Linked DNA regions of Lepisosteus oculatus. The main gene of each other region encodes a partner of the protein of the gene in region 2 in a complex. Links are inferred from orthologs where the notes say so. Each region holds a gene or a part of one and is shown on either strand. Other genes may lie near its edges.

The links.
Region 1: the proteins of dnaJ homolog subfamily B member 1 (region 2) and nudc are in contact, whole or in part, in a crystal structure (PDB 7NDX), measured with the Homo sapiens proteins. The link is inferred for Lepisosteus oculatus from reciprocal best matches to the Homo sapiens genes DNAJB1 and NUDC. Residues at the interface, in NP_006136.1 of Homo sapiens: His166, Lys181, Lys182, Met183, Lys184, Ile185, Ser186, Asp201, Lys202, Ile203, Ile235, Phe237; in NP_006591.1 of Homo sapiens: Pro102, Gln103, Ile104, Lys105, Glu106, Leu107, Ala112, Leu115, Gln116, Ile119.

What each region holds. Positions count from the first base shown.
Region 1 is NC_090706.1:7,311,332-7,327,075, forward strand, and holds the start of nudc (nuclear migration protein nudC), read right to left. Parts: upstream 8,148-15,744; 5' UTR 8,028-8,147; coding exon 7,953-8,027; intron 6,709-7,952; coding exon 6,631-6,708; intron 4,759-6,630; coding exon 4,534-4,758; intron 3,928-4,533; coding exon 3,847-3,927; intron 3,638-3,846; coding exon 3,524-3,637; intron 2,667-3,523; coding exon 2,472-2,666; intron 1,873-2,471; coding exon 1,789-1,872; intron 1,513-1,788; coding exon 1,394-1,512; intron 1-1,393. Other genes in the region: nuclear receptor subfamily 0 group B member 2, read left to right, coding at 13,613-14,171, 15,084-15,325. UniProt on the Homo sapiens protein: Plays a role in neurogenesis and neuronal migration. Necessary for correct formation of mitotic spindles and chromosome separation during mitosis. Necessary for cytokinesis and cell proliferation.
Region 2 is NC_090706.1:21,688,015-21,703,560, reverse strand, and holds dnaJ homolog subfamily B member 1, read left to right. Parts: upstream 1-7,960; 5' UTR 7,961-8,345; coding exon 8,346-8,556; intron 8,557-10,598; coding exon 10,599-11,170; intron 11,171-11,726; coding exon 11,727-11,957; 3' UTR 11,958-15,411; downstream 15,412-15,546. UniProt on the Homo sapiens protein: Interacts with HSP70 and can stimulate its ATPase activity. Stimulates the association between HSC70 and HIP. Negatively regulates heat shock-induced HSF1 transcriptional activity during the attenuation and recovery phase period of the heat shock response.

The DNA.
Region 1 (15,744 bases), about 14 Mb from region 2:
GTGGCTCCCCTGTGATAAAGCAGTTAGAAACTGGATGGATGGTGCTGTCCATTCAGGTTAGAATGGTGTGAGGGTAGTCCCAGTATATCCCCATCATACATGCAGCTATTTTACATCGTGATCTATTCTTATTTCAAAAGAGTACACTGGTGCAGTGGCACATCAGCATAAAATGCATCACGAGGACATTCAAATAATTCACCTTCAATTACTTTTGTATAATGTAGCCTTGGTTAAGATGTCGCAAATAAAATGTTTAGTTTATGGAATTTTCCTTAAAGGCAGGATATTTTCACACAGCATTATGATTCTTAAATCCATCTATTTCCATCTGAGGCAGCTGAAAGGGAGTTGGTTTGACAGGACAGGCCACAGGTAGATAAGGATAAGAACTCTCAGACACCTTTTGTTCTCAAAATTGTAATCATCTTCACTTGAGAAAAAATGGAAATGAGGTAAAGTATTTATTTATAAAGAAAACAACATGGAAATGGCTGTTTTAGTTCAGAGAACCTGGAAACATGTTGAGGCCTGACTTGAGCCATGGGATTGCCTGACTGGGGGTACTTTTAGAAATAATAGGTTATCAAAGGTAATGAATTAAACAGTTCAGGATACAATCACTAAAAAGTGAAATGGGAGGAAAGCAGATGCAACAGTAACAAGGTGCACACAGTTTTTACAGACACGTGTCTAGAAAAATTAGACAAAAAGTTCAATCTAGCAAATGACAGTGAACTCCACATGTATGGTGAGTGAGTGGAAGCCAGTCTGGACCTAGCGTACACAGCTGTCAATAGTGCACAATCCTGATGAAGGTCAACTTTGGGCACATGGTGAGCTTCCACTAGCTGGTACAGTAAACACATAATCACTTTATTGGAACAATATACCTTGTTAGCCTGACCTTGACTGCGTAACTGTAGGAACTACTGCCGAGCCTTAAAGGATATGATTTTATATATATATTTGGCCTTTACCCAGACCCGTAAAACTGTAAATGATCCAACGTCTAACAGCTACCAGGATTCAGTAGTTATAAAAACCAAACCATAAAATAAAACTAAAAACGTAATCACCAATCACGTTAGACATAAAATCTCTTTTCTCCTGTACATTCTGTGGAACCATCTGCTTGGGTGTAATATAAGCAGATCCAGATTGTTTCTGGAAATATGCGTTGCATAAAGACAGCATATAAAAATAAATCTTCAAACCATGATAAAAATGTATGTCTAGGTAAGCACATATTAAGAAAAATAATTAACCTTTCACAAATGAAAGAGTCAAGATTAGAGACAATAACTCAGGAAATTACCCAGTCACACTAGCTAAAGGGTCACCGGGCCCATGCACAATTTCCACATAGTTGCAGCAATGTAAGCAGACTTACTTTTTCAGGATGTCCTGTTTCTTCTGTTCGTCTGAGGTTGGCAGACCCATAGACTTCTGCCTCTGGTCATACATCATCTTCTCCACCATGCTGCGCGTCTCCCCATCTAGGTCAGACAGCTGTGCACAGTGACCGACAAAGGGATCTATATTATCAGAGGCATCACTTACGTTTTCATGCATTCACAGCTCCTATAAAATATTCTCATGGTGACTCAATGTTCCTGAACTTTGGAGTAGAAACAGACAGAGGTCATGGTCATATCAGATTAGCCAACTGCATAGAGAAAAAAGATCAAATCTGAAATTATGATAAAAGCAAATTAGGTTTTTTCCTACATTTGAATGCCTTATCATGCTCCTTAGTCAGAAGAAAAGCCCCCCTCCTCATATTACCTTGGAATTCTCTGGACATATTTTTTTTGTGTTGAGTTCTGGGTCTGTTGTCACAATCTTGCTCCACCACTCCATTTTGTTAATCTGAAAGAGAAGACAGGGATTTGTGGCCACCTGGGTCTACTGTTGTCAGAACTGCAAAACTCAAAGCAATGAACACAAGGTAAAGGTGTTACGTTAAAACTGGTAAAAAAAAACAGTTACGTTGCACACTCAACACTGTTTTAATAAACACTTAATGTAAGTAAATGGCACAAAACAGAAAACAAAAACCTTTAACATGCAGTGTTACTAAGAAAATGACAGTCACTGGGTAACATTTCAAAAAGGAAATGAGTGAAGGATTTCTGTTTTTCGTGTACGCAACACAGAACAGCGTATACAAGAGATTCTATCAGAAGTCATGAGAAACAAATCTGAAAGAAGGCAGAAATCACAATTCAGAACTATCTGCACTAATACCTGTATACATACATACCAGTTTTATAAACCTGACATGCAGAGAGCAACACTACAGTCTGCAGATTATCACTGGAAGAGCAATTACAGTTAGGTCTACAGAGGATGAAGCATTCAACAAACTCTCTCTCCCACCTTTCAGAAGGCAGGCTAGTCAGCAATGAGATCACGCTGTAGGGTGTGTGTGAGTGGAGGCTACCAGCGCTGCAGGTCTCGCTCCCTACCTTCTCCAGATGGACAGTGACAATCTTCCCGTCCTCGATGAGCCAGGAGCTCTCCTCCACCTTCACCTCATTGTACAAGTCTGCGTCAATCACCAGCGGATGCCCCTTCAGGCCCACCTTGAGGTGCCGCCTCTGGATGTCCACTACCAAATCCTTCCCCTTCAGGCGGAACTTAACATCAAATGGCACTAGGAGCTGGGGGTTAATAAAAGAGAGCATACATTGATAAAATGACGCTTATTTACAGCAGAAGGGAACAAGTAAAATGCATGAAAAGGGAGGCTGTTTGGCTAGATTAAAAAAAACAGTTTATGCCATATATAACTTAGAGCCCAAGAATTTGGAAGACCTTCATTGACATCACCACCACTACTTTTATTATGATTATAAATAATGGCACAGTAATTTTTGCATATTTAGATCAGCTTTATTCATCAGCTCACAGACTATTCTATTACAATCCATAACTGTAGCATTGTCCCATGTATGATTATCTCATCAAATATCAGAAGCTATATAAGGCTTTGCCTACTCACTAATAGAACAGGAGAACTCCAAGAAAACCAAGCTTGGTGCTTTAAGTGAACAATTTTCAAACAATGCCCCAGTAAGCTGAAAGAGAACACCGTACTGTAGGCAAGAAAGCCTTGTGGATAATGTTTAATCAGGTTCCTGGCTCACATATCATTGAAGAGCCCAAGGCACTGTTAGAATGAGTAGGATTGTTAAATCAGAGTGACCTCCCTAAACTCTCCTCTTAACTGAATTAGAAAATCAATCATTCACTTTGCATAATAACTACCGTGTGACATCCAGATGGGTGCTGCCTGCACTTCACAGGAGGATTGAATGTGCCCATCCTATTTGTAACATGTTTTGAGATCCAGTGGAATGAAAATCACTATGTAAATTCAAGGAATTAAAAATCCAAAGCACCGGTAAGGTGCTTAGCTGCGTGGCATATTCGTACAAATGGTCTGCTGAGTTTTCCTCACGATGAAAGAGTGTGTAATATGCAAAGCAGGGCTCGATGCTTCAATACATCCACTCACATCCACTTCTGAAAGGGTCTGTGTCCACCTGTAGTTGGGCAGATCAGCTCCATTGCCAGAGTTAGGCTTCAGCTTTCCTTTGTCCTTCTCGTCTTCCTCGCCTTCTGAGTCAGACTGGAAAGAAGAAAAAAAAAAGCATTTTCTTTATTATGAAAAAAACATTTGGATGAGCGACCCTTTTCACAGCTTCAGCATTCGCAATCATTCCTATCTTGTGCTTTCTTCCCAACCCTATCCTTAATTTAGTTTTATTTGACAATTTTAAACAAGTTAATTGAGGCTTAAGTATTACAAGACAGTCAAGGCACACTGACTGATCTTACCCCTTTGTCCTCCACTTTGTCAGATGAGTTCTCTGCGTCATTCTTGGGAGCACTTTCCTGCTTTTTTGCCTCTTCTTTTTTCTTGTAATGAGAAACAAGAGATGCCATTTATGAATGGACAGCACTGTGCTGGAAACAAAGAGAACAGAAGCTTGGATATACTGTACATGTGCTCACCCAGTGTGCTGGTTCAGCTCCATGAACCAGACAACACAAGTTCAAGCCTGGGTCACTAGCGGTCTCTGGGACTAATGTGCTAGTGTCACTAGCTGACCCTGACTGGAGGTTCCCTGAACAACATCACACAACTAGCAGAATGGTTAGGTATAAAATGAAAAACAAAAATGAATTCAGAGACGTTCACCCTTCATGAAGGGAAGAAGTGGGACGGCATATGTTTTAGGTCATCATCTAGACTGTGGGAGATTGTGGGAGTTTAAGCAAGAAATATTTTCTTAGTATGCATGCTTGATCTCTACTCCTGTACTGAATTACTTAAATTCAAACCATTTTGTAAAGATACACAGTAGGCATACAGAACTGAAGGGAATAAATGGATACCTGATGCATCTGCACACCCATCCAAGTGCTTTCTTGCACAAAAGTGTCTTACTGTTCGGTGTTATACCATCTTCTGTATCTGGCTCTGTGTGCACTGCCATCTTCCTGCAGATCAGGGTCATTCACCTGGTCGATCTCCGACTGCAGCTGTGCCGCCTCCTCGTCCGTCAGCTCCTTGATCTTTGGCTCGTTCTGTTCTCCGGTCTTCTTCTCCTTCCCCTCCTCCTCCTCCTCTGCCAGCCTGGCAGCTCTCTCTGCCTTCTCCCGTCGCTCCTTCTCCTGCTTTGCGCGTTTTTCCCGCTGAGCCTTCTGCGCCAGCTGATTGTGATGTGCAAAGGCCTCCTTCACCAGCTAGCCGGGGGATGGGGAGGGGAGAGAGGAAGGGAACTTCGGTCAAGGCTTACTGTGTTTGCCAACTGAGGTCAGACATGGCCAAAAAGCGATGACAGTGATGCCCTTTATACTAACTATACTAACCCATGCAAAAACTGCATTTTTCTCATTTCAAATATACCCCAGCAAAGGTCCCAAGGTATAAATATAACAAGAAGCATTAAGATCACCATAAATTAATAGTTGAATGAACAGTATTTGTCGGATTTTAATACATTTCAGTAGAGATTTCGTGTGTTTCTGCGATGACTCACAAAATATATACAGTGCACTTCTGTGAAAAAATCGTAAACATTCAGCAATATGCTATTGCTTTTACCGTGTTTTTCCTCTTATATGGAGAATCACGATGTCTTGGCTATCTTCTACTGAACATGGAGCCATGTTGTTTTAAGCTAACAGTTAGATCTGTACAGTAAGTATAAAAAAACAACTTTTTAGCATTAGTGACGTGTACAGAGGAGCAAATAATGCTCTAGGGAGAATCTGACAATGAGGCAGACAGACTTCCGTGGCAAATAACTTCTGTGGATTAGCTACTTCAACGCTTAATATTTACTACTCAATAGTTGTAACTAAACCTTTTGAATATTCATTAGAACATGTTAGAAATAACAGGGGGCTCCTGTAGTACATTTGGTACTTAGTAACTAATTGATCAACACATATTAAAGATAATTAGATTTCAAGGTTGATTTATTCTAACTCAAATTAGGCTGTATTGGCAATTAAATCTGTGAAACTTGTAGAAATCTAGTGGAAGTCAGAATAACGAGGAATACATTGTGCTCTTCAGAAAAAAAATCAGCAAAAAATGTAAAATGATTTATTACATTTGTTGTGAATTCATAATTATGTCTTATCACTAGTATCTATCAATAAAACTTCAATACAATAAAATGCTACTGGTTTCTGGCTGCTGAGGGAGAAACAGCTGTCTCAGATTCTGAACTACAATTGCAGAGTGCAGAAACAGAATTCCTACCCAGTAAGGTCAATTTATTGGGGTAAAAATATTTATTGGGGTATAACTGTATACCTGTTAAAATAACCCACTGTCTGATGCCTGATTTACAGATACAAGGCAACAGTTCAATGTGCAGCTCTCAGCAGATCCTGGAAAAACATGTTTTCATCCCTGAGCCTTCCCTTGCATCACAATGTCTGACCCCTGAAGTATTTTTTGGACACTTTCACACTGTGCAGTAACAGGAAGATATTGAGGTCAACAAACCAGACTTTGTACTACTTCAGCAGAGACAAACAAATGAGCTTGCCAACTGGGAGAAGCTATGAACTGCAAAACAGCAAGGACAGGAGCATGACCCTGTCCTGGACCTTCCATACAGAAGTGATTTAAAAAAATAGTAATAATAAGAAGGCCTGCATATTTATGAAGAGTCATATTTGGAAAAAAAAGCAGCATGTTAATTCATAATTACATTCATCATTAGTATCAAAAACCTACGAATGTTTTTGGATCATTCCAAATCCAAAAACATACTCTGATAATTCTAAAAGTAAATTGGAAGACTAAAAACCAGACTAATTCCACCTCTCTTCAGCTGCATAAACACAAGTGTGGAACAGGAGTGAAACAGATGACAGCCCACTGGCCAAACCCATCTTTGCTTTAAAACACTTTCTTGAAATTATCCTACAAGTAACTCAAATGAAACATAAAAGACTGTGTCCCAGATCCTGATTCTCCCCGAGATCTCAAGCATGTGACAAGAGATGAAGGCAAAGATGCAAGGGCAAGGACACCAGGACAGGAGTAATGTGATCACGTGCACAGGATCACCTGAATAAAAATCAGAAGATTATTACCTTCTCTGGTGCCCCTGGTTCCCCGCCTGTGAAAAAGTCTGTTTTGCGCCTCAGAAAGCTGAAGAATGTGTTCACCAGCTACAAAATATAGAACGCAAATAATTAACCCATTATGGCATGATGGTATTTACAGTACATAAATTACACCGTTCAACTCTGCCATTGGAATTCAAGGTTTCAATCTACACTGGCTTTCACATCAACACCATTCACAGCATCCATCCTCATACAAAACCACAAACGAAACAAAAGTGATTTGACAGGTTCAAGACATCTGTGCTGGGAAGATAAATAATGGAAGGAGGTATTGCTCAAGTTAACACTGTGCTGCTATGCAACTCCTCCAGCATGCTTTCAGTTTTAAAATGCCAGACCAATTCCAAAAATCCCTTCTTCTTTTTAGATTAACTAAAAGTAACCTGCATATACATTTGTTAATTCAAGATATGAATGGTAACATGCATTCATGCATTTAAAATGAATGTATTTCACTAATCTAATACTATATATTATTAGGAGTTTAATGAGCTGAATAGCCCTTTCATTTGTAAGGTTTCTAGCCTTTCTTGTGTAGTGCTATAAGATACCTTTTCAGTGTTAGTTTTGATCTTATTCATTGTATTTTAACGTGTGTGGTGTGCGGGCTGCAGATTGTGCTGCTAATGGCAGTTCTTTGTTCTACTGAGTGCGAACACAAATCGGCAAAGAGCAGGATTTTTTTAAATCAAGAACAAGGCCTGTAAGAAAAGATGAAGAAATGTCTTGCCTTTCCACACAACGCTATGAACCGACTTTATATATGGGCTTCAGAGCACTGCGCTAAACTTTTTATCCATCTCCCTGTATTGTTTTTTTTTTTGCAATTGGCACCAACATTTAGTTTCAGCCCCTATTTCAGTGACAGGTAATATATTTATATGGTCGGAGATTAGGCTACATCAGAATATTAGGGAGTACGGATACAAAAGGCCAATAAATGGAAATGCTGATAACTTATGTTTGTCCAATTACGGGTGAAGATACACACGGGAAGGTTTATTTTCTCCTGTATTCTGTATAATATTTTAAAGATAAAGAACATAGGTTACTTTCAAATAAACCCACTGAAACCCAGCGCAATAAAACGATTCCCAAGACTAATAAACCGTTTTACTTTACTTATTTACTCAAAGCTTTATAATAGCTTACGAAATTGCAGATAATGTTTGACCATACAGCAATTAGAGAAAGGGACTGCAACGGAAATTCTTTAAGCGTTTTTGAGAGCAGTTCCCCATCCCCCATAAAAATGTAACATCCACGAGTTTGTTATTATGTATTACCTCCTGCACTCCACCGTCATGCTGTTGAGCCATAGCCAACAGCATACCGTCAAACCTCTCATCTTCTTCTGCCATGGCTTATCTAATAAATAAATTTTAATTTGAAGAACGTTTGTTACAGCAACAGTCGCAAACTCAATGAATGTCTTGTCACGCTCCCCGCAGCCCTGCAACCATTGACTTCCTGGAAACAAGCACCGCCTCCGTTACAACCAAAAAAAAGGAAAATCAACTCTCACCCAATCGAATGTTTTATTTATAACTGACAGGTCCTGTGAACCAATCAACTATCAGCAGTGTCGCCGAGAGGGCTGGTTCAGAGCGTTCCGACTGTTAAATCGCGCCGACTAGGAACAGAGTCGCGGTTAGAGTAAGGAATGTTCTGGAAGGTGAAAGAAAATGCAGTGTTTGTGGCTCTAGGGGAAGTGTAGAGTGGCACCATTGTCATGCTATAATGTAAGCATTTAATGTAATAAAGATGATATTATGCTACCTTTTCAAAGTATGTCTAGACTTTGGTTCGTTTTGACAAACGGTTTGCAGTATTATAAGATACCGCAAAATTAATAGTGAATTCACCGTCTTCGACTTCATGTCTTTAGCATAAGGAGATCTGCTTGCCAACATTTGCCAACAGCTAGTACAGTATTTTGCAGCAACTCCCCTTTTCCAATTATACTCTGTTAAATTGGAAATAAATTTAAATTAATCTAGCAGGTTGGAGTATGCATATCACGCTTCAAAATTCTAATAAGTAAAAAGAATATAATGAACTTTGAGAGATTTTAGACATTTTTTAAGGAATGTAGAAAACATACACAGGCCTATATAAAGTGTTGACTTTCTGTTTTTTTTATAAATTCAGTCAGTTGCGAAGTAGTCATTTATTTGGCTAACACTTACAGATTTTCATCTGTATGGTTGGGTATGTTAGTGGAACAATACCGTAGAAACAACTTGCTCAAGGGAACATCAGCAGAGCCTCACCTGAGATTTGAACTCACAGCCTTGCAGTGGTTAAGTCCAGATTCCTGACCAGTCCTACCCAAAGAACAGGTGATCACATTTGAGAACAAATGACCATTTATAATGATGACCCATTTTAGAGGGCATTTATTGCAGTGTGCTGAGTGAAGTACCTTGCTCAAAGTTACAACAGCAACATCCAACCTGGAAGCAGTACCCATAACACTCTGGTTTACAGTCCAGAGCACTGCTACTCCATACTACTACCTGAATATTACATACAAGTTACTAAGTCATGGGTGGCACAGAGACTAGCATTGCTCTCTTGCAGTGTTGGAGCCCTGAATTCAATTCTGGGCCTGGAGTTCTTTCTGTGTGGAGTTTATTATGTGTTCTCCTGATGTTCTTATGAGTTTCCTCTCACAGTCCAAAAAACGTACTGGTAGGTTAACTGTAGGAAAACTGGCCCTGGTGTGAGTGTGTCTGTGTGTCTATCTTGTGATGGACTGCATCCTGTCCAGGGTGTATCCTGCCTTGAGCTCTTTGATTGCTGGGATAGACTCCTGCTCCCCCCTGTGATCCTCAACTGGAAGAAGTGGTTTCAGTATGTTGTTTCTGCTTGAAAATGCTGTTTCCAGTACTAAGAAACGTGCCTGGAAGTGATAAAGAAAGGTGAAGCAGCTTAAATATGAGGAATTGAGGTTGGTCAAATATGTTGACACACCTCGTCAATTATGGATGTGAATACTCTGTAGAAGCCCAGGAAATAATTGTTGTTGTTAACTACATTTTCTAATGGTTATGCAAGTTTTACTGAAATATGTCTTTTAATGTCTTGTAATACTGATTACATATTACATACTGTAAAACATATCTCTGATTACTCTCTGTCCTAAAAAATATTCATGGGAGAGGCATAATATATAGAGTATAGCTTGTTGTGGGACTGTAATTTAGCGATTCGATGATCTAGATGAAAGGAGGCTTGTCCTGTGAAGTTTGCAGTGCTGATGTTTTCAGTGCATTGTCCTGGCACTACTTACCAGTCAGCTGACAGTGAGACAGACCTGTTTATTCCGACGGTATGTTGCACAGTTAATCCAGTCAGTGTGCAGAGTCCTGTGATAACCTGGATGTCACTTGGTAAACAGGTCTGTGTGCTTTCTGCACTGAGGTTGGCTTCATTGATTTCTCCCACCTGTTTTGTATGAAGCACTGGTCAAAGTCCATGCTATATTTAGCACAAATCAGGCAGGCTTAAAGTTAGAAAGCATTCTGTTCAATTGCCTGCTTTCCACCAATGGACATTTGTGATATGTGCCTCCTAAAACTTCTTAATGTACCTGATAACATAGCCACATTAGCTTAAAATTATTATTCTAGGTAAAGGCATAAATAGAGTCACTACATCAGCAATAATATACTCACATTGAGTTAATAGAACTACCAAATAACTTCATATTTAATAAAATATAGAAAACAATTTTATGACAAGAGCCTCTCGTCTCCATCCAAGATGACTACTTCCCTATGCAGTAGCTGATTTTGTCACATATTGATATTCAATCCATTAATCTTCAAGATATCAGAGACGTATGCAACAAAAAACAATGGACCTAATGGTAAGCTACTGTGATGCATTCTGTAGTTGCCCACTTCATATTCTACTGTAAATGTACAGGTGTTTTTTCTTGATGACATGTTAGTTTATTCTGTCTTGGTAAAAGAAAGATATGCTGGTTAAGGTTGGAATGAAATCTTCACCAGATATACTGTACATATTAATAGCTGTAGTATTGGAGAGTTAGTTAATGCTCCTAAAAATAATATCATTGCGTGTGACCAATGTCAGAAAAATAAATGTATTTTTGTTCCCCAAAAGTAAAAAGTGACTCTAAGAAACAATGACCGTGGTAATGAGTTCTTGTGTTTTTTTTAATATGCTGTATTAAAAAATGTGCTGTATTTAATGTGCTGTAGTTGGACAACATCAGGATACAGAGAACAAAGTAATTACAGTAAAATCAATGTACACGAATGTTAGCAAGTGAATTTAAATATCCTTTTTTAAATGTTTTGGTTTTCAGAACAACATATCTGCATTTTCCCAGATGGAATGGAACACTGGTGAAAGGCCACTATGTTGCTGCAATTCCTGAGTTTTGTTCCTCCCCAATAAATCAATTGCCTTATCAGGAGAAGAGCTCTGTGCTAGGCACGACTGAGATTAAAAAAGGGATACTTTACTGCTTTGTCTCTGATTCAGAGCCTTCCTTCTGGGATGATGGCTGTTTGCATTAGCTCACTTTTATTGACTATACCATCAGGAAATGGTAATCTGATTATGAATGGCATTCAGTCAGGAGTGCCCAGCAGGAGAATTGGCGCCAGGAGTTGTGCGTTAATCCACAGGTGCAGCATTGTTGGAAAACCAAGGGAGGGGACAAGAGAATAATTCTTTATTTCTGTTGGTCTCACTCTTCACCAACTGAACCTCCTAAAACGTTCCGAAGACAGCAATGATTTTATGCCCAAAATGTGCATAATGTAATTGCATTAATAACTATGCTGAAAAGAGAAGAAAGAAAACACAACGTTTCGGCTGTGGAGCCTTCTTCGAGTGTCACACCCAAGTGAGGCTCCACAGTTGCAACGTTGTGTTTTCTTTCTTCTCTTTTCAGCGTGGAATAAACCTATCACTTGTTCCTTTGCAGCCTACGCATGGTGACGCAGCTGCCCACCTGAACTACTTCAATAACTGCTTCACACTCAACCTTGATGCAGTTTTTTTAATGGAGTTTTCATTTTTAAAATACAAAAGAAAAAGAATATACAAAAAGAAAGAAAGATCCCACACTAAGAGAAAATAGTAAGCAGGCCAATGTGCCATGTTTTTCAGACAAGAAAAATCATCTGAACGTGCTGTCTTAGTTCTTCAATTAGAAACAAGTAATCTGGCTGTAATCTAGTAACCTTACAGTACATCTTACAATAAGCCCGTTTCTCTGAACAAAAATCTAACAGTGGTTCTTTCAAGTGAAACCCATTCACCAAGACGTTTCACACCAAGGAAAATCTAAAATTCAACTGCTATGTAAGAATTGTGCTGTACTTCTCTTTCATTTTGAAAAAGACGCTCCGCTGGTTAGTACATCACACCAGTCAAGTGTGATTATTAATACAACACTCCTTAAAACTCCTTAGTGTATAAAGGTACGAGTTTTTAGAAAAACAAATTGCTTGGACTAGTTGAAACAGAATAATTCACCATTTATGAGTGTCAAAAAAGAAAATGTGAGGTCTCAGACTCAGTCAAGGGAAATGATGACGCAACCTTAATTTCTGCTGATTAGTTAAGCAGTTGAAAAATACAAATGACCTTCAGTTCAGTGTCTATTCCTGACCCAGATATAATATCTGCAAAATACAAGTCTATTAGTAATCAATGCCCTTTGTGGTTTGTATACTGGACTGCCTATACCAAGGTTCTGAACAGTTTATTTCACACATATATTGTACTGAATGTGTTGATATATGCTGTTCACAGAATGACTTGCATTGAACAGGGATGGAGGTACAAGCTTATTTTAAATTTAACAAGATGAATAAAAATAATGTATTTTATCAGATTAAAACGGGGGAGTTGTCAGTACCGAATATTATATAGTATAGCATTATTATTAACCTAATATAATTATTCTCATAACAAACTATATTTAGAATTTTCACTTCAGAATTTCCTGTTTTTCCTACAAAACACGTCGTTTGGTGTTCTATTATACAATTATAAATCCTTATAAATTTCTTACATGTTGTTAAGCTTTCAGAAGTAATCCATCTATCCATTTCAGGGTGATTCTTTTTCCTATTGATTTTTCTGTACATCACGAATATCTTGCATTTTCAACAGTATCACTTATGCATTGTAGCTCTTCAAAACGTCTACCTATCCCCTTGGGTTGAAGTCAATGGATGTGACGTCTCCTATTCTTGAAACCAAAATCTCTATCGCTCCGTATTTTATACTCGGAGGAAAACAGTTCCAGTTTTAAGTTCGTATTCAGCACCTTTTAAGGTTGCCGAAAAGGGTTTGAAATGAATAATTTCGCATCTGCGAGAGGCGATATACTACTCAAGGACGCATCAGACAGCTCTTTACATGCATAATATCTTAACTGTTTGTACTGGCTGGCTTCCAGCTCATTAGGTGTTAGCTGGCAGCGATAGTGGCCATATACTGTCTGCTTGATTACTCCCACAGTCCTTGGTAGCTTGGTACAGGCTGGGTTAATGGCTGAAGTAAATAAGATAAGTGACCTACTCCCAACCACCCCAACGTCGCCTTGTACCATCAACCCGCCGATCTTCATTGAGAAAACCTTATCTTCTCCACGTGGAGCGAACCTACCTGAGCCAAGCAGTCCAGGGTCATGTTGTTTTTCAGTGAGCAAATGTTATTCAGCTAGGGTCAAGGCTGGCTTGCTGTACCTTAGGGGGAAGCCTCTATAAATAGGTCTGGGACAGCAGAGCTGGAGACAGGCGTACGCACGGCGGACAGAGCTTTTCTGATCCAAAGCATTTAAGTAGCTGCGCGGCCAAGTGGTACAGCGCGCAAGGGCGATTTACAGGCTACCTGCGCGTTCACCGTACCAAATTCTTTTAAGCCTCGTTTAGTTGAAAAGATTAAGTAAACGATGTCTTGCCTCGAAGAGCCCAGCGACAGATGCCAGTGTTCCGGCTTCAGTGTTCGGCAGTCCAACGCCATCCTTTACAATATTCTGAGCCGCAAGGACAGCGACCACCTCGCCCACAGCTACATCACGTCTCCGCACAGCTGCCACTGCGAGATGCGGCGGACTGTTGGCCTCAAGAACCCGGACGAGACGTGCCAGGTAGCTTCCGGCGTGCTGGTCAAAACGATCCACTTCATGAAGAACCTGCCTTCCTTCTACCAGCTCCCACTCAAGGACCAGCTGGCTCTGCTGCAGAGCGGCTGGGCGCCGCTGTTCATCCTGGGGCTGGCGCAGGAAGGGGTGGCCTTCGACGTGACGGACACGCCGGCCGCCAGTTTGCTGAAGAGAATCCTGCTCAAGGACCAGGACCAGGACCAAACCCGGCTGGAGCACTCGGACAGGGCGCAGCCCACGCTGGACGCCGTACAGAAGCTGAAGTCTTGCGTCAATAAGTTCTGGAGCCTGGATATGAGTCCAAAAGAATACGCCTATTTGAAAGGAGCGATTCTTTTTAACCCCGGTAAGTATACTAGCGAATTATTATCACCGTGCTTATTGATCTTCTTGTACCAACGGGTTAAATAAAGTAATAAGTGTCAATTCCCGAATAGTTTTCTCACATAATTGTTGGTAGATGGATTAGTTAGTAAGGAATCCACACTAAGTATTTTAATTGGAATGTATGAGTGGATGAATGTCCTGCTTATTAATGTCTTTTAACGGACAAAATAGCTTGTTGACATGGCTTAAGAAAAGGCTGTTTCGAAAATTACACATTGATGGACATTGGCCCAAAGTTTCATCCTTCGTTTACTACTATAAATCTTCTGCCCAAAAGAGTCCCATTTCCCCCCCCCCAAAAAGGAAATTCTACCTAATTAGGTCTACAAGCCACATTCATTACTTGTCCACTGGGATAAAGTGCAGAATTAGCTAATTTCTCTTGAAGGGGGGAAAGTTAAAATAGGAAATAAAAAATGAGTATGGTAAAGTGGCACAGAATTACTTCGCAAGAATCGGACCAACGCGTTTGAAGTCGTTGTTTCCAAGCTGTCAAAAAGGCCACCGTTTCCTGAACACAATTCGTCAGGCAGCCCCCAGCGGGGAAAGTCTGTTATGAAGGGGTTTGTACCACATTTTCAAACTGCTGACACTGTGGGTATTACAGCACACGTCCGTAACGGGTGTTGGCATCATTTGCCATTACTTGGTCGCAAAAGGATAAACTACACATGTAAACCCTTCTGTTTCATACGTGTAGTAGTTAGGAGAAACACTTAATAGAGTTGATTGGTTTTCCCCCGCTTCGGGAGAGAGATTAGTGCGTTCTCGGTGGTATCTAACCAGCACAGTTTTGCAACCCCATAATTCGAATTAAGGCTGACTGCGTGTAGACGTTTAAAAACGCCTTCAATTCGGTTATTTTTTTCAGATGTCCCGGGCTTGAAAGCGTCTCTGTTCATCGAGAGCATGCAGCAGGAGGCCCAGAGAGCTCTTCGCGAGGTGCTGCTCCCTCTCCACCCGGGAGACCGCGGCCGCTTCGCCCGCATCCTCCTCACCGCCTCCGCGCTCAAGACCATCACGCCGAGCCTCATCACCGAGCTCTTTTTCAGACCTGTCATCGGCCAGGCGGACCTCTTAGAACTACTCGCCGAAATGCTTTTCGCCAGATAAACGAGGATACAGGAGCTCAGGTTGCTTAAACTCAACAACACCCGTCGCGGAGCCGCTGATTTGAGGGGACAGTGTTACAGAGAGCTTGGTGCACTCTACCTGGGAACACGCACGTCATGTCCTGCTATTAAAACTGTCATGTTATGGTCTAAAACTTGGGCAAAAAGGTCCGCTAAAATCATGCGAAGTGAGCAAAGAGACATTCTCGCCTTGCGAGTTTCAAACGGCGACGATACGCAGAAAATCGTTTGAGAGGAACAGCCTGGCTGTATTACAGAGGGGACTCACTACTCGATCATTTCGGTGTGTGAATTTGGCGTATCTCTCATACGCTGTGCCAAGCTTTCGATGTTATGATTTAGATATAGATCTTTCAGCTGAAAGGGCAAACCTGGTTTTGTTGGCTTAACAGAATCTTC
Region 2 (15,546 bases):
GACAGGTTAAGGCAAAAATGACCTACATTTAATAGTTATGGGTTTTGAAGCAATATGAACCAGTGGAACTAGGATTTAACAGCTCACTTCTAACTTTAAACAAAAAAGCAGTTGTCACAAACCTGAGCGCATGAGAATAAAGTTCACGTGCACTGGCCAAAAAGCTATTTTTCTGAGATTTTCAAAACAGACCTCAAAACAGGAACATTTCGCTCTTTTAAACAAGGCATCGTGTTTTAACAGTGTAAGTGAGATTAAACCAAACTGCCCCGTTCAAGCACTCTTGACAGTATAGAAACAAAACTCAAGTTAATTTGTCTCGCAACAGAAACAAGCATAACTGAGTTTATTTACCATGCTTCTGTTAGGCAATTACTTCCTTTGAAACTATTTAGTTTTTAGATGTCGGTGTAAACAGTCGGGTATCTACAATCGCGGTCAATAAACGGGCTTTACATTTCCCGTATAGCTCAGTAGTTAAGAAATTGAATACTAACTGCTTACTAATACATACATAATGCAACAAACAACTATTAATCTAGCTACTGTCTTCATCCACAGACCTAAACGTACCCCCTCTCCTCCCAATAGTAATGCACCTGCTGAGACAATGCTGTACTCTAAATGAATATTTCTCATTTTTATTGATACAATACAATCATATAAATCCCAAAGGCAGAATATTCAACGGATTATTGCTCTTGTCTTGCGACTCCGTGTTTAACACCATTTCCGCCTCCAGTTATTATCATATATTTGACACCCCGTGCGGCCCTGGCATAGGGAAACTTGTGTGCAATAATCCCACCCCCCACTGAAGCTTCAGCGGAGACGATAAATCTCTTCCAAGAACCATGGAAATGCATGAAACACATTCTTATGCTGAATTATAAAATCACTTTGATATTCTAATTCATTCAACCATGTTTCAGTTACAGTCGGTACAGGAATACATACGTTATGAGAACATATATTTATTTATTCTTTACCTCGTAATGCTTCATCCCCGCGATTTGAACTATTCTTCGAGCGAGAAGCTTGACCTCCGCACTACCCAATGGGAGTGCAGGAACGTTGTAGCTTTTCCAATAGAAAGCCGACAGTTGATGTTTCCGTAGCCAATCGTAGACTGGGTAAGAACAGACACTAGCCAACGAGAAGACACTGTCGGGATCACTCCAGCCAATTGGGAAACAGAAATTACCTATGGAGTGATGTTAGTTTGGCAAATTGGAATACAGATAGCTCGTTTCCTCAACGTTCAAAATCTTTCATAGGTTCTCTTGTGATGCAGGGGTTAATGCTAAAAGTAATTGTTGTTAGGTGCATTGCATTGGTGTATGGGGGGCGGAAAGTGTTCAGCATTGTACCATACAGTATCAGAGTTGGTGATCTCGTTCACGCAATGTGCAACTACACGATAGCAGATGTTTCTTCCATACTTTTCTTCGGTGTAGCCTTTGTAGATCGAATAATTCAATCCAATTGCGTCAAATCTTTAAGATCTACGTATGTTGGACCTTAGAACAACGTTCTAAGAAATGTGAATGTGGCCACTTATTAAGTACTACTCATAAAATGGTCTCTTTTTCTGAATGCAGTACTACACAGGTTTATTATAAAACATAATAAACATGTCATGGGATGCCCTTTACCTAATAAACTGCATATTAAATCTTAGTATTAACCCAAAATCCTAAGTGTTACTCAATAAGGGCTGTCCATTATCAAGATACAAGAAGCTGCCATTTTTATTGCTTTGACAATCCTGGCAAAGTTTAGGTTTAATATAGGCCAAAGATGTATGAGTTTTTTTACTTCCATTAACAGTTTTCCACCCTGTTTCGAAAATGAATTTATATATATCTTGAGGTTTTTTATTCATATTCAAACCAGACAAACTGATTTTGTGGTTATGTGGAAGCAGTGCTTTAGCAGATGTATGTATATTGTAACGCATACGGCCACCATTGCAGGTTGTGAGAGCCGGCTTACCAGAGCGGTGACGTCACTTCCCTGTGAATAGCAGGGACCGCAGCCGCCGGGCTGAAGGGAGATTTCCCTTTGGCTCAAGTGGCTGGGTCCCTGTTGAGTGATGTCAGAGGCCTGGGTTTGAGTCCCTGATGGTGGGGGGCCGGCCTGAGGCGGCAGTGGTGAGGGTGCATACCCACATGAACCCCGTAGCGTTACAATATGTAATATGTATTGTGGGCTTCGGTAAGCTGGCAGAGCTGTGCATGAGATGTGAGCATGATGAGCTATCTCTAAAATAACAATTTTGATCTCTACAATATTGATATCTAGAAATTATAAAGCATGGCTGGGCTGACAAGATAACAAGCTGCTTTAATCAAAGTAGCAGAATCATGTGCATCAACAATAGCTAAATCAGTTATATTCACTAATAGCGCAGCACATCAAAGAAACTACCAGTTTGTCATCCTCAGGAATCTTGAGACATACTGTATCCCAGGTCATTCTTATTGCTTTGGACAGGATGGGTAATTCTAATGAATATTATATTCTCAAAACATTTGGTAGAGCATTAACAAAGGAAAGCTGGAGAAGTTAAATACCAAAAACTGAATCTCTTCAGTCCTGAACAGAGAAGATTACAAAAACACTGGGTTCAAATATTCAAAATCCTCAGAGGTACTGACAACTCAGCAAAGAGAGTATTGTAGCACCCACGTGGGGCGCTTTAACGGTTGCTCCCTCCCCTTTAGCCATGAGCACAGGGTGGGCTGGGAACAGCGCCTGAGGGCCAGGACTTTTCGGTGTACTGTTCAAAGCCTTTTCCTGAGTCCTACACTTGCTCCACTCCGTACCGAACCCCGCAGTAGTTACATTGGTGTCAGCAGTGGGACGGAGTGAAGCAACACAGAGCCCTGAGCATGGACAGCGGCCTGAGCGTGAGGAGATGCCAGGGCATGCAGAAAGAGGCCCGGTGCACGGAGAGCCCCAGCGAGAGCCAGCACGAAGCCCCAGCGGAGCCCGTGGAGCAGCCTGCCTTGCGTGTGCAGCCTGGAAGGATGGTTTGGACTTGGCTCGACTCTTAGGTGGGGACAGTGTAGCGCCCACATTCACCTCCCAGTGAAGATGGCCATCCAGTCTCCACTCAAGATATTCAGAATCTACAAGCTTCTAAACAGGCAACATATGTTGAATCAACTCATCTCATCTGTAAAATGACCTGTGTTCTCATGTACAGCTTTCCTGCAATCATATCATAGAAGAAGAATTCTGAAGCCTAGATATGAGGAAACCATGTTGTGGATATATATTTTGTATCAGAGTATCTAATTCACATATTTTCTATCTCTCAAATTTAGGAATTACATAAACTGTATCTCTTTAAAAGTGGGGTAAGTTATTGCATATTGTGTCTTTCAGACCTACCTGACGATCTCCGTTGTGTTTGGGTCCTCAGTTTGGAAAGTATTTAAATGAATGAGAAATGTAGTATCCCCCTTACCCTGGGACAATCAAGAAAGTTTTTTTTTCCCCAATCCAGGTCCCAGAGAAACAGCGTGTGTGGGTTTTCATTCCAAATAATCTCTTAACAAAGAGCTGTCCTATTCTGTTTGTCTCTTTATGTAAAATCATACTATACTTTGTGAGTATGACTGCCTAAAAAGTCTACACCTCTGGACCCATAAGAAGCATTTTCACTTGAAAGCTAATTCATTGTGCATATCCATGGTGAACTCAACATCTAGAAACAAGTCTAATTTACCTGTGTAATTTTTTTAATTTAGATTGAATTTATTGTTAGTTCCAAAATATTTTTAATAATGAGAATATTTTTTTAAGTAAGAGCTGTATTTGATCACTTTTTCTTTTATGGTTTTGAAAGACAAAAAAGAGCAAATTAATGCAGAATTAGTGAGTGCTCCACACTGACAATTGCAGCAGAAGATTGAAAAAAAAAACCCTGTCAATATATTTATGATTTTTGATCATAGTGATTTGTAACTTTACATTCCTCATTTTGCAGCTGGATTAACAACTACTCACTTGTCATGAACATGAAAACTGTGGCCAAAGAAGGCATCTATGTTACTGAACATATTGATATTGGGATAAAGGGATAACAGAGTGTCTTGACTAATTGAGTTAGATTAACTTCAGTTGATTTTCTTCAGTATTTCACAGAGCCTCTAAAATGTGGAAGTGGTGCTTAGTAATTCTCACTGCTCTCTGGAAGCAGGGTGTAACAAAAATAAAACCAGCCTAAAACCAGATATTCAACTTAGGCAGGGGTTTCCAATCCTGGTCCTTGAGGCCCGCAGATCTGCCGGTTTTTAGTCCACCCAAGCTGTCAGTTACACAAGTGAACCCTTAATTGACATAGAAACAATTAATTTTTGAGGTCACCCTTTAACTACTGCATGTTTGAGGTAAAAAAAAACAACAACAACTTGCAAATGTTCCAATTAAGCAGCTTGTTAGATCTGCTTTTCAAGGGTTCAAATAAGTAAGTTCTGCTGGAATAAAAGAATCATTAGGAGTGTAGTACTCCAGGACAAGGTCTGAGAACTTCTGAGATCAAAAAGGGAAAATGGGAAACAGAAATATACATAATTAACTCACAAGAAAGGCGGCACAGTGACATAGTGATGAACCTTGCTGCCTCACAGCTTTGGGGCCTTGATTTCAATTCCGAACCTGGGTGCTCTCTTTGTAGAGTTTGTATGTTCTCCCTGTGTTCACGTGGGTTTCCTCTGGGTGCTTTGGTTTCCTCCCACAGTCCAAAAAAAAAAATTTTGGTAAATGAATTGGCTTCTGGGCAAATTGACCCTGGTGTGGATGTGTATATCTCTGTTTATGTCTCCGTGTGCTCTGTGATGGACTGGTGTCCTGTCCAGGGTGTACCCTGAGTTGCGCCTGTTGCTTGCTGAGATAGACTCCGGCCCCCCTGAGTTCATGAAATGGAAGAAAATGGATTGATGAATGAATGAAAATCCTGTAGCATTGGAAGACAAGGATTAGCCAAGATCACAGACAAGCAACATCTTAGAATCCAGGTGCCAAGATAGAACAGTCCTGCATAATGAACACATAAAAACAGATATAAAAAGGAAAAGCTATGCATTTAACATTTAATATATTCTTCATTTTTATCATGTATAATTTACTGTTGCAGATGCACTTGTAATTTTCATTTAGTTTAGTGTATATGTAAATGAAATGTTTATTTATCAAGTGAGTCTCAGAAACACACAAGCAAAAATAAGAGGAAGAGTAATAAAATGTACTTGGGTATTCTGAATTTGGAACCAAGGAATAACAGAAAATTGTCCGGTCCTTGAATGCTAAGAATATCAAATAGTTATGATATAAGATAACAATTCATTAATATTAAAACTAATTTTTAAACAAAAGCAATTCTACGTTGATAACATCAGTTTCCAAAGTGATAGATTCAATGCTACCATCTACAATGTGTGCTGGGTAGAATAGAGAGATGTGAATAAACAAGTAGAGATTATTTCCCTCCTGAAATGTTTTGGCTGTGGAGACTTCTTCACAAGGACAGAACAGAGACTTATTAAACTACAGCAGTTGCCATTTTCTTTCCTTCATAGGTTCCTCTACAATCCCTTCTGTGAAGTGATTCTTCTTTCAAGTGAGGCTAATACTCCTCCATCATCACTCTAAAACTTCATTCCCTAGGCACACATTATGCCAAGTATGCCATAGGTCCAGTATGCCAATAGTACAGTACTGTCTGACTATCCACATTGCTGCTATTAGAGACCACAGACACTGTCAATAGAAAAAAAGGACATCACTCAAAGTCACTGCTATTTTTAGGAAGTGATCTCACCTCCATGGAGATTTAAGTTTCTGTCTAACTCTTGTTCCTAGAAACTGTTGTCACATTGTTCGTTGTTGTGATGCAGATTTTAAATTGTTCCTGAGAAGATTAATTTGTAAAGGTCAGCTTTAGGCAGATGTCACCTCTTCTTCTATGGGATCTGAAAGGACTGTTGCAGGGATTGGGGTGGTAAGAATGGGCGTATTTGTTTTCATTACGTTGAGTCTGGCCTTGGTGTTTGGTCACAGCATTTCAAGTGGAATGTTATAGTCTTATCCTGAAGGGATGTCATCCCATGTTTCAATAAATAAAACTTATATCATACAACTCAGAAGGCACCAATGGAAACTACATAGACTTGTATATAAAACCAAGAGCAGGAGGCACTTTGTGACACCAACAACACACATCACAATAATAACATTACTGCCACCATGACACCTTAGTTTATACATGTTTTAAGTGCTTTGTCTTTCCTCTTTCACACCCCCGGCAGGATATAGTGTTTCTCTTTAAGGGAAAACTGCTCTGTTATTTTCCTTCTTGATTGCTTTTCATTTAGTTCTATTCAAGTCACTAGATCTTCAAGTCCACTAGAACAACCAATAACTCTTCTCATCACTAACTGTAACAGCTGATCCCATTTGGGATACTTTTCTTTAACCATCACTTGCACCCCTGACATAGCATCCAGCTTCTCACACTTCTCAATCTGTCTGCTGATGCACAGACTTTATTCAGGACACAATCTGTGCAATCCAGACTTCCTCTCAGATGCAGCCTTTCCAAGAGACACAGCAGCGGTCTTACAGGTATCAATACTTCCAGTCAGCCCTGGTTAAGCTGGCCAGCCATGTTCCTCAGCAGCAAACATCAACCCTACTGTGCTTGGCAAACTACCACATCTAACAAACACAGGACAGTGTTCTTCCCTCACTTTTGAGATTTTTGGAATAACATTACACTGCCTCCCTTACTTTTTTTATTCCTTTGGTTTGTTAATCCCTTTCTTAGTTTTCATGTAGCCTATCTGTCCAGCACCTGTAACACTCCTCAGTACAATTTCAAACATCACCAATTAAGCGACATTAAGGCAACCCAATCAGATATGAAAGAGAACTCTCTCTGAATGCTAATTACTCTATCAGACCAGGTGTGCCTCATTCCATAATTTCCCTCCCCAATTAAAAGATGGCTGTCTCACAAAGTCACCTGTCACTACCTCACACAATTCTTTGCCAAAAGGATTCTGAGTATGGAACTACCAAGCCATCTTATTGAAACTGATACAATTTATTTCAGAGGTTCTTAACCTGTGGTGCACAGACCTAATGGGGGTGAGCAACATACCAGATTTTTTAGTAGGTAAATCATCACAAGCACAAATTAAGTACAACTAACTTTGTCTAATCAAACCTACTGTAGGTATTTAAAGGTACTATAAACTTAAAATTATCCTTGAAGACATGCTGTTTTCAGGCCTGTAGATCTTCCCAATTCACTTTATAAACAACTACAGTATGTATAACTTTTTCTAAAAAAGTTTTTGTTTTTTATTTCAGCTCTTAATCAATTGGACAGGTAAGAGATTACCATTAACCTGGTACGATACTCATTTCCTATTAACATTTAAATAACCTTGTAAGTCAACTTGAAGTCCAGTCCATGCAAAAATCAAAGTATAAGATGAGACAAGCTCATTCAGACCATGTTGCTGTTTTGGTTGTCAGAGTAAAGAAAATTCTCATTAAACTGATATTGAAAAGATTGACACTAACTATATAATTATTACAATCCCATGGCACTCTTCGTATGAAAAGGGGATGTTAACTCTGGCAATTCTGCTCTGGAATACGATTTTTTTATGAAAGCAAGAATTCAATTAAATGCAGGCATTGTTGTTTATGTAACATCATCAGTGGACACGCATTATATAAAAATGTATATTAAATGCAAGCAATATTTGTTTTTTACGTGTGGCTTTCGCTCAAAAAGAAGTCACAGAACTATGTTTACGAGGGATGTGTTGAGAACTAGCTGATCAAATGGGGGCGTGGTCTTGAAAGGTTTGTCCGTCCGTGGCGTTGTAGAGGAGGGCGTTGCTGCCTACGCAACGACACTCTGACGTATGACGGGGGTGTGTGCTGGAAGGCAGTATGAGGAAGCATCTTGATGGCGGGGGAGAGTTCTGGAAGTTTCTGCTGTGTTATAAATACTGAAAGCAGGCAGAACCAGCGTTCTGCAGCTTGAGAGAAAGTCGTAGAGAGCTGGTTGCGCTTTATTTTGTTAAGGGTATTGCGTCGTTGGTGTACGTAATACAGGTGTCTGTATATATGACATTGAGATTGCGACTTTTTGTTTATCCTGCGTGGATCTGTAAAAGGAACTACAGTAGGAAACCTTTAGCTGATTCGCGTGACTGCTGTTTGTTCACTGTGACGACGTCGTGACCTTTTGCTTAAAGAGCAACTTGTGTGATTTTCCTCTTGTCGTCTTGTGAGTGTAATTGATCACCGGGGCTGTAATGGGTAAAGATTATTATAAGGTGCTGGGAATCCAGAAGGGAGCCTCGGAGGACGAGATCAAGAAGGCATACCGCAAGCAGGCATTGCGCTACCACCCGGACAAGAACAAGTCTTCGGATGCCGAGGAGAAATTCAAAGAGATCGCGGAGGCCTATGACGTTTTGAGCGACCCCAAGAAAAAAGACATCTACGACAAATTCGGGGAGGACGGTAAGATAACACTTAATTAAAAATAAACTCCACAACAGCAGCATTTCGGCAAGTTTAGGACTAGCAGTGAGATTCCGGGTGTCCCGTTACCTCCATGGAGGACCTCCCACTTCTGAAAACGTTTGACTCCTTGTGATGCCCAGAAAAGCGTTTCTATTAAGATGCCATGGGGAGAGAGCTGTTCCTTAAAGCTCAGTCGCATCAAGCGGATTTGCTGGGTGAATTGCGTTGCATTTTGCAGTCGGTGTTTAGATTTAAAGTCCTTGTGCGTGTGTTGAAAGTGTGCCCGACTCTCCCAGCCTACCGGCATGTTCTGGCAACTTCTGGGTGTGTGTGGCAGCTGATAGAGCCCAAAACCGAAACTAAAGACGTATGATCGACCAGTGCGCTTTCGAAAGTGCTAAGGTGCAGTTTCAGTTAGTGATGGTACTGTTTAACCTTTCTCGTAGTATCATACAGCTGACACGGGCAATCCAATACTGACCGATTGACCCCTGCAGGTAATCGGGTTCGATCTTAACTAGGTGCCGCGCTGGACAGGATACCGCTGTGGACTGTGGAGGCCTGGGGCTACAACGCGCAATCTATTACATTTTGTTGCTTTAAAATATCGATCCCCCTTTTCATATGCCTGTTAAAGGTGGGAAGGCACCACATTTTCTCCGTCTTATGCCCCCTTATTGTCAGACTTTAAACTTGCTGTAGAGTAAGAAATGCAAGTTTTGCTCGGAATCTGGAAAAATGACTGCTTGTTGAGTGTTGGTGAGAAAGGCCCCTTCAAAGTGTGAAGTTGTATTATTTATTTTTTTAAGAAATGCAAACATTCTTGAGCACTGCCGTGTTTCTCTGATGCTTTTCAGTGTAGGGTAGAATATTAAAATGTTGCCTACGTCGTGAGATGTTTTGTGGATCGAGTTTTGCACAACAGCCGATTGGAATCATTAATCGTGAGTCTTGTAATGTTTGTACATTAACCCTTATCTGCCTTAATAATGGCGTTTAAATATGAAAGCATAAAATACAGATTCGTTTAGCATTAACCCGTGTTGGAGGGATCAGAAACCATAACTTCTCGTTAAGGATGATCAGTTAGGGAAGAGAGAACTTAACCTTGTCTCGCTTTGACCAGTCTCGTTTACTTATTTCCGAAACAAGAATTTAAGTCCTAGTCAAAAAATGTTTTAGCCGCTTGAGTAGATATAGAGGTGAGGGTTCCATAGAAAAACAGTTTTCTTTTGTAAGTCAGCTATTCGTGTTATAGACTGATTTGTGGTTGTACTGTAGTTTTGCCATAGTCAGCGGGTAAATGTTAAGTTACGTAAATTTATTAATGTCATTGAATATCTAATACTTTACTTTCGCTGTGTTCTGGCGACCCGGGTGCGCTCAGCCGCTGATTGGCTCAGTACATGCCTCGCGTGCCTTCTGGAAGTTTCTCGCCTGGTCCTGTCTGGGGCTGTTAGAGGCTTACTCTGAGCTTCTGTCGGGATTATACAAGGGCAGGTTTGCAGCAGGGCTTCAGGTGCGCTTTGAACTAAACAACCGTCGCTGGATTTGAGGGCAGAAAGAACTTTTCTTTTAATTGGTGTCCCTGTTCTTGTAGAGTTATCTGATTATTTTACTTATAATTGTTTAACCCTAAACGACACTTTGAGAGGCCACATTTCTGTTGTGATGTTTCAATTTTAAGTGATATGGGCATTAAAGAACAGATAAGAAAGCAGTATTTACAGAATGCCTTCTCAGAGTACCTTGAGTACCATGTACCCTTCATGTACATAAGGTCAAGATGTGCTAAAATAGTCCGAAATAGGCAGAAATCAAGTAATGATTTGTTATACCAGAAACAATTTTCAACAATTTCACTGTTCTTCATACCTCATAATCCTGTGTGAAATAAAATATCCATCTTTTGAATGTCTTTGGTTCTTTAATCAGAAATTCAGTTGCTGCTCAATGGTGCAGCTCTCTTCAGGACAGTGCAGAAAGGCTTGATTTTTCTGACCTGTGCGTAATGTTTTGTGCCTTTTCCCCCCACTCAGGTCTGAAGGGGAACGCTGGAGGTGGCGGACCAAATGGCACAAATTTTAACTACACATTCCATGGGGACCCCCATGCCATGTTCGCAGAGTTCTTTGGGGGTCACAGCCCTTTTGATTCCTTCTTCAGTCGCAACGGGGGTGATGAGGATATGGACATCGATGACCCCTTTGCGGGATTTGGCATGGGGGGGTTCTCCAGGGGCTTCACACGCATGGGGATGGGGGGACGTGGGTCCCGGGATGGCATCGTGAAAAAGCAGGACCCCCCTGTAGTGCATGACCTGAAGGTGACCCTGGAAGAGGTCCTCACAGGCTGCACCAAGAAGATGAAGATCTCCCACAAGAGGCTGAACCCTGATGGACGTACCACCCACACAGAGGACAAGATCCTCACTGTGGAGATCAAGCGTGGCTGGAAAGAAGGCACCAAGATCACCTTCCCCAAGGAGGGTGACGAAACGCCTACCAACATCCCGGCAGACATTGTCTTTGTGGTGAAGGACAAGCCCCACCCAGTGTTCAAGAGAGAGGGGTCTGACATCATCTACCCAGCCAAAGTCACACTCAGGGAGGTATGTGAAAGACAGTGGTGCTAAAGTTGGACAGAATGCTTAATAAAGAAACTTAAGGGCTGTCGAATGGTTTGACTTTTCCTAGCTCAGTCTAACCGGATTTACCAATTTTTGCATACTTGTTAAATCCAAATTACTTGCTTACCAACATATAGATTGCATAACATTTGGAGGCTTAGAGCATGTTTTCTTCATCCTTGTGTGGTCTTTTTCAACTGGTACATTGCTCATTTGTCTTATCTTGCATTAAACTTTTTTTGTACATTTTCATTTATGAGGTATAAGAGTAGCTTATTTATATCACTCTATCCATTGTAGTACTTAACTTGCTTGTGACATTCATATTGCCTGGTATTGTGATTTTGTTTTTTGGAAGTCATCTTAAAAAGAGTTCTCTGAATGCTAGTGGTAATTCTTAGGCTTATTAATTTAACTAGAACAAGTAGAAAAGCACTCGAGGAACTTGAGGCATTGGTTTCTAAATGAAACTTATAGGTTGTAGGTTGTTTTTGTATGACATGACCTTTACCAATCATCTTATTCCTCCCATGCCCAGGCTCTCTGTGGATGCACTGTGAATGCCCCCACATTGGATGGCAGGACCATTCCTGTTACCTTCAGAGACATTATCAAGCCCGGAATGCAGCAGCGCATCACAGGGGAAGGCCTGCCATTACCCAAGTGCCCAGAAAAGCGTGGAGATCTGATCCTGCAGTTCGAGGTGAAATTCCCGGATCGGATTCCACTGCACACCAGGGACGCTTTAAGTCAGGTGCTTCCTCCATGAGAGCTTGTCCCAGGGAGCTGTGTTGCCAGAGGTGCTGTTGGAAAGTGCTGCTTGAAACGCTGACCGGCGACAGCCAAGTCTGCACTTTGTTATTCAGGAAAAAAAAACAAAACAAGATGTGTAGTTTTGTATATCTGTTCAAATTTCGTTTTCTCATTAATGTTGCCTCATCATCTACCACTTCAAGCACTGCCATCACTGAAATCTGTGCAATGCTAAAAGAAACTACAGGACTTCATCTTACCTCCTGGAGAGAGGCAGTGATTACTGTGAGATGGGAGAGGTTTAATTGTAAGGGCTTCGCTGTATTAGCTTCTGAAAGTTGAAGGTGATGGAGCCTTTTTGGGTCTGTTTTACCTGAGCAAAATGACTATTAATATGACTTCCTTTTACATGAAGTAGTTTACTACAAAGGTTTCTATCATACATTAACAAAGTGGCTCTTGTTTTCTCATAGATTAACTGATTCATCTTCCATGCCACTCAATAGTGAAGATTGAAAATTAATTAATTGATGGGGTGGGTAGGTATTAGAGCATCTAAAACTCAAAGTGCTCTCTTGGGCTTTGAATTACAATTTGTAATACACTCTGTGCAGAAATAGTTAATAAAGTGTCCTTTTGCTAGAAGAGTACAAGAATCATTCAGTAGACTGAATGTCCTTGTCATGGGCTCGAAGCAATGTTCCATTGCCTGAATCGGTACTTCAGAGCTAAGAGCAGCATGTTTCCTGTCTGTGATAACATTTACTAAATAAATGAGTTAAACCTTTGCGAGATGTCTGCAGATGTACTTTACAACAATAAGAGCAAATTGGATTTTGTGGCCCATTTGTTTTTATTATTGTTGTGTGAAGGCAGATGAAATATGATGCTTCTCTTCTATAGATGTAATATGCCTGGTTATACAGTAGCTTTAAAAAATTAAAGTAATCACCTGACAAAATAGAAATACATTTTATGATCATTCTAGGGGTATAGGATAAATACAGTACGGTGAGGGTAGATTTCAACAGTTTTGATTTTCTCTTTCAGTGTGGTAAAACCAGGACTGAAGGTAAATATTCACTGTTTATTCCAGCTTGCATAAGCTGTACATAAGCACCATATGTATTTTTATTTGTATGTTATATTTAGTTACACTTAGCACTGGTTTAAATGTTTCAGGTTACCAACAGTTGTACTAAGAGTACACTAAAGTACTCCAAATATGCTTAAAACCATTCTGGTCAATATGCTTGCTGTATGTTTTAGTGAGAATCTTTAGGTTTTTTTTCTGGATTAGGAAAAAAAATCAAAATGCACTTCTGGGTTCTTGCTCTGTTTAAGAACCTGGTTACAGAAAATAAATTCTGGAGAAGACTTGCAGTGTAAGTATAAACAGGGCATAAGATGTGTGAATGTTTAAAGGTTTGAGAGTAGTTCTCTGACCATATGCTCGAACAAGGAGAGAAAGGTTGCTAAAGTCAAAACTGCAAGCAGCCATATCACCCTGCAATTCACAACTGGTAACCCACTGAAGTTAAGCAGGTGTGAGCCTGGTCAGTACCTGGATGAGAGACCTCCTGGGAAAAACTAAGGTTGCTGCTGGAAGAGGTGTTAGTGGGGCCAGCAGGGGGCGCTCACCCTGCGGCTCATGTGGGTCCTAATGCCCCAGTATAGTGACATCCTTCGGATGACGCGTAAAACCGAGGTCCTGACTCTCTGTGGTCATTAAAAATCCCAGGGCATTTCTCGAAAAGAGTAGGGGTGTAACCCCGGCGTCCTGGCCAAACTTCCCATTGGCCCTTACCAATCATGGCCTCCTAATAATCCCCATTTATGAATTGGCTTCATTACTCTGCTCTCCTCCCCACTGATAGCTGATGTGTGGTGAGCGTTCTGGCGCACTATGGCTGCCGTCGCATCATCCTGGTGGATGCTGCACATTGGTGGTGGAGGGGAGTCCCCATTACCTGTAAAGCGCTTTGAGTGGAGTGTCCAGAAAAGCGCTATATAAGTGTAAGCAATTATTATTATTATTATTATTATTATTATTATTATTAAAAACTGTTTTAGTTTCTGATTGAAACTCAACTAAAACCTTTTCTTATGATGATTTCATTATGTTCTCTTGTGGAATGCAAATTTTAAGTTGGAGGTGTTCTATTCCAGCTGTGAAGTGCCTCAAGATCTTGTTTCTTATTCCAGGTTAAGCTCTCTGTAGATTCCTGTGATCACTAGATTCCATGCTGGATGTTTGTACAGTCTAAGGAAAGCACTTGATAAGAGGTACTAGATCTGTAAATTGGGTTGTTTCCTGGAGAAAAGTGTTAATTTATCTGATTAAAAAACTAGACCAGTGAATCTGCTGAGCTTCAATGTGGGGTAAGAAAAAGACATGTAACTCACCTCCTTATGAGTCTGAGTTTGATACCCCTTGCTGGTGGGGAAGGACTTTACTTTTTGCAGGTGTCATAGCTGCTTTCAATTGTAAATTGTCAATATCAAGCTTAACTCTTTCTCCCTTTGTGGGAGTCATGGGACTAAAACTTAACCTGACTAGGAGTACAGACACTTACTCTTCACTGTCAGGCTTTCACTTGACCTTTAAGGACCTCCTGCATGTGTCTCAGCTGCTTTTATGCAGGTCTCTGTATAACTCTGAAAGCAAATGATAAAACTCTTTTCTAAGAAGCAGGTATTTGATATTCTGTTCTTTTATTGTGTACCAAGAAATGCCAACACATTTAAGAAATAGATCAAATATGGAAGGACCTTAAATATTTTTATTTTCTTCACTTCTGTTATCAATGTTGTGTGTTTGAAATCATTATATAGAGTATGATTTATTTTTAAATCATAACAATTCTGGTTAAGCTCGTATCTTGGGGGGGAAAATAAGCTCATGGACCGAGAGTGAGATATAATGTTACTGAAATTATTCTTTCTTCCTTTCTCATTTTATCTACCATTTCTTCTTGGGGAATCAAAAATTGGAAGAAGTGGGAGGGGTCTTAATCACACTATATCATTAATATGTGATGTGAGTTAGGGTTTCAGCCTTCCCATGTCATTGTACGAATTAAAGAAAATGGATGTAAGGAATTCCATACTCCTGTGTGTGGTCATTCCAAATTGATAAGAGGGCAAGAGCTCTCTTTAAGCTTTGTAAATGTAAAAATGTCACTTCATTTAGGAGTTTTTCTGTACACTTTGAGAAAGTGTTAAGTGTTGATAAATGAGTTAATGAGATGATAATCCATCTCAGTGGGCTTTGGTTTTGCAGTCTTACGTATGTAAGAATCTTTCCAAGGTTGCCAATGCCTAAAAAGGATTTTTGTACATTTACCCTGTAGGGTTCTTAGGATTTTCAGTTAAGTTTTATGTATTGAAAACATTGGCTGTAATATAAGATGGTGTATCTGAAATGACCGCTGTTTGATTTAACTGAAATAAAGCTTTTTGTAATGGCACTGTGTTGTTTTTAAAAATGTATATTTCAATTCTTGTTTTTATAATTTACTAAATATTTAAATGGTGTCTCAGTGGGTCCTATAATGACTGTGTTCTGTATCAAAGCAATAAGATAGATAGATAATACTTTATTA